Linked DNA regions of Lytechinus pictus. The protein of the gene in region 1 interacts with the protein of each later gene in a pairwise test. Links are inferred from orthologs where the notes say so. Each region holds a gene or a part of one and is shown on either strand. Other genes may lie near its edges.

Evidence for each region. The genes of interacting proteins can lie anywhere in the genome.
Region 2: the proteins of cytoplasmic FMR1-interacting protein 1 homolog (region 1) and nck-associated protein 1-like interact in binary tests that used the Caenorhabditis elegans proteins (3 or more experiments, as listed by UniProt). The link is inferred for Lytechinus pictus from reciprocal best matches to the Caenorhabditis elegans genes gex-2 and gex-3.

Annotation. Positions count from the first base shown.
Region 1 is NC_087249.1:49,436,608-49,443,566, forward strand, and holds the start of cytoplasmic FMR1-interacting protein 1 homolog, read right to left. Parts: upstream 3,025-6,959; 5' UTR 2,877-3,024; intron 1-2,876. UniProt on the Caenorhabditis elegans protein: Required for initial steps of body morphogenesis. May play a role in egg laying and yolk protein clatherin-mediated endocytosis by oocytes during oogenesis.
Region 2 is NW_026974140.1:15,023,796-15,030,758, reverse strand, and holds the start of nck-associated protein 1-like, read left to right. Parts: upstream 1-3,936; 5' UTR 3,937-4,085; coding exon 4,086-4,196; intron 4,197-6,963. UniProt on the Caenorhabditis elegans protein: Rac effector required for tissue morphogenesis, cell migrations and egg laying. May play a role in egg laying and in yolk protein clatherin-mediated endocytosis by oocytes during oogenesis.

The DNA of each region.
Region 1 (6,959 bases):
AAGAGTGTAAATACGAGTTCGCTGTGATTTCGATCTCATACCTATAAAAAAAAAAATAGAACAGCTACGCCTTGAACACAGGCAAAAATGCCTAACGATTTCTCCGCGGCATTAACAACTCTCGTAAGGGGCGCTCCATTTATAAATAAAGTTGCATATGTAGCTGTCTACCGCGACAGGAACAGCCGCAGAATTGAAGCCAGAAGCGTGGGAAATTGCCAGAAAATTCAAGAAAAGAACCGGTGAGTACCGATTTAACAGTACTAATTTATTAAGTAACATTTATTGAATCATAAGAAGATTTATTTTTTAGTAAAACAAAGCTTAGTTCTAAGCTAGGGCGGCCCAAATGCGCGTGAGTGGAGTCCCAGTTTATTAGCACGGGTAAGTATTGGGGTGTCGCCTAGAGTGACCCTCATCATGCTCATGGCTCATCCTCATCTTCATCATCATCATCTGGTACGGGATGAAGGCGCAAGCCTGTAATTCCCGGTCGTTTCTTGTATGATTGGTCACTGAAAACTACTACTTCATGAGCTTGCGTGAGGAGTCATGGAAGCTCAAAGTGTTTTTTTTGCCAAAAAATATCAATATTTCTTTTAAATTTGTCTGTTGTTGGCATTTGTATTAGGTTTTCAGGAAGACTATTCCAGTCATTGATGACTCTTCTACTGAAAGACTTATTTCTCACATCCAGTTTGCTATGGGATTTCAATAATTTCATGGAGTGACCTCTTGTAGAGTTACTACCAGACTTGGAGAAGAAATGGTCTGGAGAAATGTTGACCAATCCATGCATAATCTGGTGGACCATTATCATATCTCCTCTCCTCCTTCTATAATAGAGTGAGTACATGTTAAGTTCCCTGAGTCTCCTTTCATACGGTACGTTTCTCAAGTCCTTCACTAGTTTTGTTGCTCGTCTCTGTACTCTCTCAACCTTCTTGGCATGTTCTGTAAATCTACCGTTCCAGATGACGCTCCCATATTCCAGATGTGGTCTAATTAATGTCTTGAAGAGAATGGGCAAGGTAGATTTGTTTAGTTGAGTGAAAGTTCTCTTTACGATTCCAAGCAGTTGGTATGCCTTATTAACAGCTAGAGACACATGCTGATGAAATTTCAATTGATTATCAACTGTTACCCCAAGATCCTTTTCAGTAGCTACTGACTTCACTTCTTGTTCCAGCATATAAAATTTTGCTTCTGGATTATTCCTTCCGATGTGTAGAACTTTACATTTACTGCTATTGAAAGGTAACTGCCATTTCGCTGACCATAATTGTAGTCTATCCAGGTCTTCTTGAAGATCTTTGATCTTTGATAAGTCACTCACTATATTGTAAAGTTTGGTGTCGTCGGCAAATAAAGCAACATTACTCTTGTTGACAGCAGATGATAGGTCATTGATAAAGACTAGGAAGAGAATAGGTCCGAGAACACTCCCTTGCGGTATTCCGCTTGATACTGGAGACCATGGAGATAGTTCCCTGTTTACTCGTACACGCTGAACTCTTCCTGTCAAAAATTCTCGCATCCAGATAAGAAGTTGGCCCGTAATTCCGTGTCTCTCTAGTTTACGTAGTAGCCTTTCATGGGGAACACTGTCAAATGCTTTGCGAAAATCTAAGTACAAAACATCGATTGGCTTCCCTTCATCAAGCATCTGCGTCCATTCTTCAAGCACATACAGAAGTTGTGTGGAACATGACCGTCCTGGGATGAATCCATGTTGGTTATAATACAACAATTGATTATTTTGCAAATGATCCACTACAGCATTCCTCACAATCTTTTCCATTAGTTTTCCTGCTATCGATGTAAGACTCACCGGTCTGTAGTTAGAAATCTGTGTTCTAGTTCCTTTCTTGGGAAGAGGAATTACAATTCCCTTTTTCCAGTCAGCTGGAATTTTACCTTCATGCATTGACTTGTTGAATATGATAGATAGTGGTTCTGCAATAACTTCACCCAACTCCTTCAGCACTTTAGGATGGATCCCGTCTGGGCCAGCTGATTTATTCACATTTAAGGTTTTGATCATTTTTGTCACATCTGATGTTTCAAATCCTAACTTTTCCATACAAGGTATATCAGCGTCTACTCCGGTCACATAATCTGGAAAGTTTTGTAAGTCTTCAACAGTAAATACTTCACAAAAGTATTTGTTAAGGACATCTGCCTTTTCCTTATCAGTTTCTACTAGAGATCCATCATCTCTTCTAAGACTTCCTATCTGACTTCTACCTTTAATCTTACTATTTGCGTACCTCCAAAAAGCCTTAGGATTAAAGTTGATACTTTCCACTAGGTCATCTTCAAAGACAAAGTTACGACTGGCTGCTCTTGTTGCCTTTCTTAGCTCATTTCTTGCCTTCTTATATGAATTTAAGTCTGCTTGTTTCTCGTCTTCATTTCTATAAACACTTTTGGTATAGCGTTTCCAGTTTCGTGCTTTTTTCTTAGAAAGTTTCAGGATTGGTTTAGTAATATAGATGTTCCGTCTTTTGTCTTTACTACATTGTCTAACTTATGAAGACTAAGCATCTTGTCTTCTTGAATCCTTGATTATAAATTTTTCTCCTCATTAAAGCTATAGTGAATTGGGATATCAAAACTTAAAATGCAGACTCTGAGTCTAACTTATGAAGACTAAGCAAGTGAGCAAGAGTATAATAATAACAAGTTTATGCTTTCTGAAAAACAATGGCAATGCAACACAAGTTTATTCAGAACACCACACAAAATTGCACGTCTGGGACTGTTCTCATTATTTTGATGGAAATAAATGTTTTCTTTTCATAACGTATGGAAAAAGATTTTTGGTGAATCAGAACGAAAAACATCAACCCAAATATTTGGATAGATAAGCTTACCAAATATATTGTCACATGAAAGTATGAACAGCCATCGCTGGAAACTGGAAAGCGAATCCCCGGAAGCTTTTCGCCCTGCCTATCCCAACATGGCGAAAACAACGCTAAGAGTGCAGCGGCGCCGCGCCGCGCTAAGCGAGCGCGCGGTGTATGTCGCGTCGAGGAACTAGTACAAGTACCGGTATCGAACGTTATAGGGCGCGGCCAATGGGTGTGGTCATCGGACCCCATCGGTCATCATTATTTAGGTATAAAGCAATTGACATTATTATGTACGGCCTGGTACCACAAACCCAATTTTTAAGTCCCTATCCGAGATCCCCTGTGTCTGCATGAAGCGACCACCAAAAAATATAAGAAGAAATCGTCGCATTTTCCTCCCCCCCCCCAAAAAAAAAAATGTATCGGTAGGCCTAGTAATAACTTTTGGATCAAGGGGGGGGGGGGGGTAGGCCTATTATAAAGAATAGGTATCATGCTTGAATCTAGTGCAAATTAAAGGACAAGTCCACCCCAACCAAAAGTTGATTTAATTGAATAAAAAGAGAAAAATCCAACAAGCAAAACACTGAAAATTTCATCAAAATCAGATGTAAAATAAGAAAGTTATGACATTTTAAAGTTTCACTTAGTTTCACAAAACAGTTATATGCACAACCTGTTCGGTATGCAAAAGAGGAGACTGATGACGTCATCCACTCACTATTTCTTTTGTATTTTATTATAATGATATATTCTAATGTTCTCCTCATTGTCAAGTGAAACAACGATTATACAATTCCTCCCTGAACATGTGGAATTAGCAAGGTTCAGTAAACTTGGTCATTATTGTCAAATCTGTGAAAATGAAATATTGTATATAATTATTTTATAATTCAAATAATAAAAACAAAAGAAATAGTGAGTGATAGACATCATCGACTGACTCATTCGCATGACACTGAGTTGTGCATATCACTGTTTTGTGAAATACAAGCGAAACTTTATTAAAATGCCATAACTTTCTTATTTTACATCCGATTTTGATGAAATTTTCAGCGTTATGCTGGTTTATTTTTCTCTATTTATTCTAATCAAAATTTTTCTGGGATGGACTTGACCTTTAAGGACTGGCGCCCAGCGCGGCTGACCTGAAAACCTGTAAACGGGACAATCATGTCTTGAGCACTTTTTGTAACTGAACAGGATGCATACCTCACTAAAGCGCGAGCAGAACCATTTTCTGAACCAACTTAAGAACAGGGTCTAATTAACAATCAAAGAGAGTGTGAAGAGCGATTCTTCCCTGAGCCCCGGCCCCACCCATTTCTTTACTTTTCCATTTGTTCACCCTTTTTACCCATCTCCCTATTTCTGTGACTTATTAGGCCTCGCCATGTGGCCACTTTGGTCCCATGGATTCGCTATGCTGCGATAATACAAAGTCAAGTTCTCAGAAAAGCAAAAGAAAAACAAGCTACAATAAGAAAAATAAATGGATCATTTCACGAATTGAGCACCACCAAAGTGTTGAACTCGAGCTGAGCGACAACTATTTAGGGGGAAAATTCTAAAATCTCATGCATTATAAAGGTTACGTCCACCACTGTGACAGAAAAACGTTGATTTGAATCAAATCAAGCATAACGCTGAAAAAATCATCAAAATCGGATGTAAAATAGTTCGGTCTTTGTTCTTTTATTGGGTTCCTCGTCGAAATAAAATGATCATTATAAAAACGCAAATTCATTCACTAAAATGCCCCTTTTTATAATTATCATTCACCCCATAACAATTATAGGACAAACAAATTGCAGAAATAAATATTGAACAAAACTTTGGGGATTACCGAAACCTAAAAGAGGCGAAAGTGATGGCCATCATCAATATCTTTCCAAATAAACTTTATCTAATTTGATTGAAAAAAAAAAAACAATTTAATTCAATGGCTGATGAAAGAATTTCTGCTTTAGCGCCATCTCTGTTCATTGTGCAACAGCTTGCTCAGCCAGAAATTTCGGTAATAAATTTCTCACTGACTTCAGCGAAATTTCTATCATATCTATGGAAGACAGAAATGAAAACAAAAGTAGATAACTACATTTTACTCATTAATTATTACACTAAGTTCCGACCCTTTTAATTACCCATTGTCCAATGTCTTTACAAGTACATACATGCAGTTTGATTAAATTTTATGTACATATTTTGAAGATCATTTTGTTTCCATGACTGTATTTGTACATGGCTTGCCTGAGACCTTTACGGTATTAATGTTATGCACGATCGTAAAATTTATTGTACATTTTTTGGTTACATGTCAAAGTTGTCAATTTCGGAAAATACATGTATGTGGAAAAGGTATGCCTGAATGAAACAAAATAGACAACCCCCCCCCCAAAAAAAAAAAATAGACAACCCCACAAAAAAAAAATTTCTCAAAGACAGCTATTATTTCCCTCTATTCTCGTCTTAATTTTCTTCTCTTCACTCTTTCTTCCTCCCCTCTTTTCTCCATTTTCTTTTCGTCTCTCTTCCCATTTTTCTTCTCTAACTCTTCCTCTTCCCATTTCGTTTTCTTCACCGTTTCTCGCATCTTATGTTTCAATTTCTCTACTCGGTACAATTCCCACCCTTTTTCTCACTTTTAATTTCCTTCTCATTTCATCTTTTCTTCTCCCCTCTCTCCCTTCTTGTTTTATTCTTCTATTTCATCATTCTAATTTTTCCCTTCGTCCTCTCATTTTTTATCTTTTCTCTGTTTTTCCCATTCTTCTCTCTCGTTCGTTGTTCTCCACTTTTACCTCTTCCTACTCACTTTCCCCCATTTTCTCTTCCACATTATTCCTATTTCTCCTTCCTTCTTGCCCAACATCCTGCTCGCTTCCAACACATCAAAACAATTAACAAATACATGGACACAGGGTAAAACAGATATCGTTTTGTACAATTTATGATTTTTTTTATCATTTTATTTTGTCAGATGTTGTTGTAACACAAAATGTCGACACAATATTACATCCAGCACACAGAGAACCTGTAAGGGCTTTTGGGAGAAATAAATGTACTAAAACATTTCAAAAGTTATACGGTCATTTGCATATTTTGCAATAGGACTATGTAACAGGGTATATATGTGGATAACTGCGTGCAGGGCATAGGGATTTTGGTTAATACCATACAGAATCAAAATTGGCATCAAATATATTAATTCTGGAATGTAAAATTACAACTAGGTAAAAGGAGTTATATATCAAACAATTTCAAACTTAAAAGACAAATGTGGGAAAATTGGTTTTCATTAAAAGTATTTTTTTTCTGTTGAGATTTCTGTGTTGAACTAGTGCAGTTTAACGCCTACAAATATTTATATAAAGACGGACTGGTCAGTTCAATAACATTAAAAAAAGCATAATTTATACTCTTGTCTAGTATACAATTATGCACTTTATTTATGTCACTGTTAATTTATGCATGCCAATCTATAACTTTAGCAAGATAAAAAAAAATCCAGAACCATACATATATTTTGTGCAGTATTATACATGCTTTTTAAGTTAAATAATAATTTTGACAGATAATGAATGAATTTCAATGGAATGATATAATCTCTTTACAGTAATACAATGCAGTCCCTGTTTTGGGTATATAAATAAGATTACAGTAATGGAATTTATCATTTCTTGATTAAATACATTTTTTTTTTGGTTTTCCTTTTACCCCTTATATCACTGGGGATTCATAAAAGTCACTGTGCCTGGAGTAGAAACAAAGAGTCATTTATATCTCTTTTTTTTTCAAAAATGAAATGCATAAAAATGTTCCAACCTTCAAAATAAACAATTTCATTCCATAAGTTATATATGAACAACAATAGATTACTCTCTTCATGTACAATACACAAATGAACAAAGCGTATATACCGACATTATATGCCATGTACAATAAAAATACAACAGTAACACTATCATGAAATATATCGGTCATTTTTTCCATCTCGGACCCCCCCCCCCCCCCCCCCATTTGCAAGGTGCTACATAACATAGAACCCCAACTACAATTAACCGGAATAGCAGCAAGTTTAGCGCTCGATACATATCCCAT
Region 2 (6,963 bases), on another chromosome or scaffold:
ATTTATGGACAAATCAGTGATGGGTCCAGAATTTTAAAATGGGGGGAGGGGCCTATAATCGGGGGAGCCACCAACATTTTCAAATTTTAACATGATCTAACAAGTTGTAGAAGATACAACCATAAACCCCTATGATGATACGTTACAATACAGGGGCCGGGGAAGGGTTTTCAAAGTGGGGGGGGGGGGGGGGCTGACCATGCAAAAAATCACAATCGTATGGTCATTTTTACATTTTTGTACATGCTTTTGGAAAAAAGTGGGGGGATGAAGCTCCCCGCCCAGCCCCCCCCCCCGCTTCTGAGGCCCCTGCAATATATTGTGCTCACTCAACCATGAATATATGATATCAAAATTGTGTGTGGAGTGGCTAAATGATGGATAGTAAAGCAGCATAACACCATAAAATTCACTTAAAGACAACATTTGCCCAACTTTGTATGTGCACAATCTGAAAAACGACTCTTGTGACTTTCAAAAATGGTCATTTTTAATTCAATCTTTAATTACTCATGCATGACTCAACCGATCAATCTTATTTTTCTCCGGGAGTTGCTTAATGAGTGTAGAAAACCACCTACGGAATATCATATCTCAAAATAATTCCGTTCAAAAGTTACAGCAATTTGATTTAGGGGGGACATACTTTTTTTTGTTGTGTATATATTATTTCTGCTCTTTTGGCAAATTAATAAAAAAAAATTCTCTGTCACACAAAAAAACAAGAAACAAACAAATGGAAGAAAAGTTGATATATGGTTTTGCAAAAGGCTTGCAAATATGTCCTTGTCATTCCTCGTATAGAGCTCGGGGAAGAAATATTTCTTTATTTTTATATAAGATTAGGCCGACTGTTTACTTCACCCCTCAAATTTCTTCTGACTTTTTATATGTTATAATGTGGATATGTATAAGGCATGAAAAAATGAAGTTATAATTTCACAATTGAGAATTTACTTTTCTTAGTTGAAAACATTGTTAAATGGTAATCAAATTTGACAAAAGACCAATGACACGCCTAATGATACTATCGATATCATGATTATCAATATTCTCAGTCACCGTTATCATTGTCATTTAAAAGAATCGAAGACGTTAGAATATAATATGAGGTGAGCCTTTTTACGAGAGATGATATCATTTTCAAAAATAATACTCTGATCTCTTTCAAACTATGTTATGGCAAGAATAAAGAGAACTTAATGAAAGCAATTGCCCTGCAATAAAACTGGAAAGGGACACTGTAATTAGCATTCCTATCCTGATATAAATTATAAAAATCCCTTCAAAATTTTAATTCGAAAATAGTTTGCATAGATCTCGCCTAGTACTGTATTACTACTTTGACACCTGGTATATGCTCGACCCCGCTAAATCTTTACTTTGATAGAAATTGATTTGTTTCAGAAAAAATGTTTATTTGGATTTATAGCTAGGGTGATATGTTTGAGGTTTAGATTATCATGTTGTTCCTGTGAGAAATTGTCGCAATTAAGTCATGGAGTCATCAAAAGGTTTTTAAGAAAGCGAGGCCAAGTAAGCCGGACTGAGGCTAGAGTTTGAAGATTAGAACATAACGGGGGATGCATGAATGTTTAATATTGTATGATATTATGATAGACAGTCTTCAGTATCTTTTTATAATCATTTACAAATAAAACTCCGTTCATGGTTTACAATATATATGATTCCTCTCGATGTCGTAGGCCTAATAGGCCTATCGCAGGGGAGGCCTTAATTGGGGGTGCTTGCCCCCCCCCCCCCTCCAAAAAAAAATCATGACCTAGTAAAAAAAGAAGAGAAGGGGATTGATAAAAGGGAAAGAGAGAAAGGTGAGATATGATATCATTTCCTGAATATTATGTCAATATCTATGACAATATTAGATTTTTGTAATATATCACTCTCAACTTCTTACGCGGTACGCCATACCTAGCTCCTTCAAACTTTCTGCACTACGCCACCATCACTGAGCAGCGAGTAACACTTCCTGGCGGAGAACTTCGGGGAATGCCTACAAAATATATATTTTTTTTAATCGAACGCACATTAAAGCAATTAAGCCAGCGCGATAACCGGTGAGCTAAAATCTTTGATATACTGATATGTAAAAAAGGAAAATGTCAAGGACTGTTTCTTGCCGGTTTCTTGCTATTAGTTTAGAGGATCAAACACCTCACGATTCGATCATATATTGCGAGCGCGAAGCGCAAACTGAACATTTGTTTTGTATCCAGACCGGAAAACGGAGTATTTATATAACCACTTGTTTGTAATAGGTTCTCTATCTCTATCTCACTACATATTATACTGACCCGAAAATGAAAGTTTCGATCATTGTTTGACATGAAGAAAATTATTATGTGGATATATACTGTACGTTCCCCTGCCCCCCCCCCCCCCCTCGGTGTTGCGCCTCGTCGGATGGGGACCCACGAATCGGACGATAATTCCTTTTGTACGTCCCGCAGATATCAGACTACAGATTTTGTATGGTTGTGTATATAAAAGTCAAACCCAGCTTTTCGGGGGGAGGGATACATTCTTTATAGTTTTTTTTTTTATAATGCAAGTTTAATACTAGGAAATAAAAAAATATATTTTTGATAAACATCGGGATAAACATGCAGCGTTTTCTTGATGAAAATGCATGGTTTTTCATTCGATTGACATTAGTTTTCTAAATAATTTATTTTTTCTAGTGAAATTATTTTGTTATATATAGCTAAGGAATGAAGCTGCTGTTTTGTATTTGGATAATTGGGTGAAAAGAAATGATTGTTTTATGAGACAGCATGGTCATAGATTGTGTAACGAAAACCTGGAGGGGCAATATGCTGCAATCACAATCACATAAATGGACACCGTATACTCCTATATTTAAACTGGATTAAACAACGGAAGGCTAATCCCTCTCATTCCGCGGTCCAGAATAGGCCTATGCCATATGATTTCCTTGTGCTAAATAATGCCTAATATGTTTCTGGGGCCAGTGAGAACTCTCTGATCGATGGTTCGATCAGCTTGGCTTCATGAGCTCACATTATATTATGTGTCCTGTTCATGATTATAAAATGTCATATTGCATAAAACTTTCGTTTTTTAGGTCAGTACACTAAAAAGAAAATTTAGCTCACATGCATTTAGTATTTATAGTGAGATACTTAAACTTATGGATATACTTTTTTTGTATGATGAATTCAAACGGCATTAAAACTTCCCTGTTCAATTCAGTATGAAAAAAATGGGTCGTGCTTCATACCTAAATTGTTATAATTTGTACTGAAAAATAACGCCAAGAAATTACTTCAATCTTTGATTCTGGACCCCCGTTCCGACCCCCATCCCCACCAATTAGCTCTTCCAGCAGCCCGGCTTTTGCAGAAAAATATGGATAACATTTTTCTCCTTCCCCGCCCACTCTCACCCCCTCCTGATGCACATCTGTTTTCGAGTAAAAACGCTCGATCACTTGAAAAAAAAAATTGTTTATTAAAAAAAAAAACTGTTTATCCCATCGAGACTCGGAAAATTCCTTTGCGGTAAAATAAGTTTATCAACCACGAACTATTTCTTTAATAAAAAAAAGTTACGTTCACTAGTTGACATTTATGACCCTGTATGGAAAAAATACCTTGATAGAAAAAACAGTCCATATGTCTAGGGGGGGGGGGGCATTAGGCGCGCCACGCATGTTTATTGATTTTCCTTCCGCATTCACGTGCTGAAATTCTATATGGTTCACGATATGCATAAGATGATATTGCCGGCTTACATTAAAAAAATAATATATTTATGTGTATCAAAATATATATTTATAATCTAAGTGATGTAAAATAATAAATTCTATTAATATCAATTATTTTTATTCGAAAAAGTGGAAGTAAAAAAAAATCTTATTTATATAAAAAAGCCTTTAATAAAGTTTGTAAATTGTTTTGATGGACTTTCTTCCTGGTTTGCATTAACGAGCGGCTGAGTTCCCTAATTTTGCGACAAGGCCGCACCTTGAATGCTAAACCTGTATCGAATGCCCTTTATTGCAGCTTTAATTAGAGTCTAGATGTCGTTGATTACTGTCTGATATGTCCAGCAGGATGCCTGTATCTCAAGGCCAGCTCAAGCTGGCTGAAAAACTCTCAATTCTCAATGATCGTGGCACAGGAATGCTCGCAAGATTATACAACATCAAAAAGGTACGAATAACAGTGGGCCACTCATATTACCACCGTATGCAATATATGATGCACACAAGGGAATTGGTGTAAGCACGATTCCTTGATGGTTGCGTTCGAATAACACAGAAGTAAAATCACCGTTTTAGCACACTAGACGTACGATTCTATACTTACAATATTTTTGTTCCAAAATATTTTTTCACAAAATGAAATTTGCATCAATGCTTGTTGAATAGGCCCTACTAGTATGTAATTTGCAAGCCAATGTAGACTAGATAATCTCCATCTCGATAATATCATGTGAAATCATGAAATCAGTCCTTCAAGTTCAAGTTCAGCTTCACGTTTATTTCGTGGGGCTCAATAAATCGCTCTCCTTATTTTTCCAGCAGCTTAATTGAGCTTCTCAGAATCGCTCTTCTTGAGGAGCTCAAATCTATTCAATACAATATATATATGAATCTTATGATAAATTGTAGATTTTTCTTAAAATTGTAAATGCTATACTAATTTACTATCCTATAGATGTGTCTGTAGGCCTATTCTGTGGTGAAACAAGGCCTGGCCAGGCCAGGGTCAATACGTTTATTCAACGCTAGCGGTCGTGTACATTTGCTTATTACATGACGTCATCCAGCCATTGCCGAGAGCCAATTTATGAATGAAAATATAGTAAGCATGCGTAGTGCTAGACAGGAATAACCGTCGTTTCTGGGGATTTATTCAACAATTTCTGACATTTTACTGTAATCCCCATTTACCGACGGAAGGGTGTACGTGTGGGCTCGCATGTGTTCTCATTCCCTCCCTTTTGTCAATTCACAGTCCAAAGTTTGATGTAATTTTACACATCGAATTTACAATCTAAGGATGTATAAACAACAAACTTTTAAAAATTAATATTTCAATGTTTAAATACTTTAAACGATATAGATGAAAAAGGCATGAAAAATATACTTTACCGATGTTTAATTGGGTTGAACACGAAAAAAATGGTCAAAATGGCAGCCAAACTATAAAATATTTACAAACGAACGTCAACAATCACGAATGTGATATCGATATTGCTTTCGATATTATACGATCTGCTCCATATGCGAACGAAACCGAAGATAAACGATACTAGTTATACTAGTACTAGTACTAGTTATAATCGCGATATATCGATTCGAGACATTAAGTTAATAACGATAATGACGTCATTCAAGATGGCAACTTGCAAGAAAAACCGTCAGGTCAGGTGAAAATGTCTTAGATGACAGATTTCTCAATCATCCAGAGGATTTTTTTCAATAACTCCGGCCCAAGGTATGCAATTACTTAAGTTATTTATATTTCCCTGATAATGGAAACCATGAAACTTTCAATTTTGCTTAAAAAACAGTTTTAAATCGCGATCTATAAAACGCTAGTTCACTATACGTTGGCTGTAGGTACGGGGCCCCATCCCCTTCAGTCTATGTATGGTGAGTGGAGCCAACATAGTTCAGCGGAACAACCAAAATACAGAGACTGAAGCTTTTGGTCTAGCGTAGTGCAAGCCTTCCATTTCCCCACACAGTATTCCACCAAAACAAGTGTGCAATTCTCTATCACCTCGTACCTAAATCGACCTAGAAATAATTTCACTTATATTTTATATGAATTATGAAAGGGTTTCTCGGAGGTTATATTTTCTCACCGATACCGCACAGGTAAGCGAATTTCGATTACTTCTTGCTTTTCTGTCAAAATCTTACGAATTAGCGTCGGTATGGCATCGTGTTCATTGGAATTTGTAGTCTATCGCAACGTGCACAAAGTCAATTGGCTTCCCGGTTTCGGAGCGTCGCGTGAATATGCATGAAATTGCAGTTTCGATAATTTTCGATCGATGCCGGAGCGATCACGACCATTTCCCGCGTACACAAGGTGACCGGATATCGTTATCGCTATCGATACTTCTGCACGCAGTCCGATGGAATTATTTTGGCAACCACGTAGTCATGACCTGATCTGCACGATTGACCAATCAGCAGTCTCCGAATTGCTGTGCAGAGACGATCTATCCGTTGTACACAGTCTATGGACGATTTGTCGTGTAAAATATCACACTCCTGCATTTAAAAAAAAAAAACTTTTTACAAAAAATACTGTACAAAAATTTCGAAAATTTCACATTTTACATCTTTAAATCCATAAAATCGCCATCTATTTTCCTTAATTCCTTGAAATTATTTTGATTTAGTTGAAAACTAAATGAAGAATATTCAGCTCTTTCTTAATTCTTGGTACTTGGTATGATGTTCCTCCGAAATACTCCAAGAAGAGTTTTTTAAACTGATTGATGATGTTACAATCGGTAAATATTGTAGTCCCACATGTAGACTTCCATGGTGTTGCAACATTAACTGAAAATGATCGTTAGATCGTTATTGATCGATTTACACTTGGTCAACACCATGAAAATCTACATATGGGACTACAATATTTACAGAGTTTAACATCAAATCAGAGTCAGGAAAGAGGTGAATATTCTTAATTTCTTCAGTAGTTTCCAACTTAATCAAAATAATTTCAAGGAATTATGGAAAATAGATGCCTATTTCATGAAAAAAAAGATGTAAAATGTGAAATTTCAGCACCAAGGGAGGCAGCGTAGCGTAGCTCAGTCGGTTAGAGCGCCTGTTCCGGATAAGATCGTAGATCTCAACGTGCGTGGGTTAGAGTCCTGCAGCATGCCGGAAGACGTCTAATAAAAAATCTGATGGTTTTTTTAGGAGCGCAATTTTTTGTTCTCCTTATT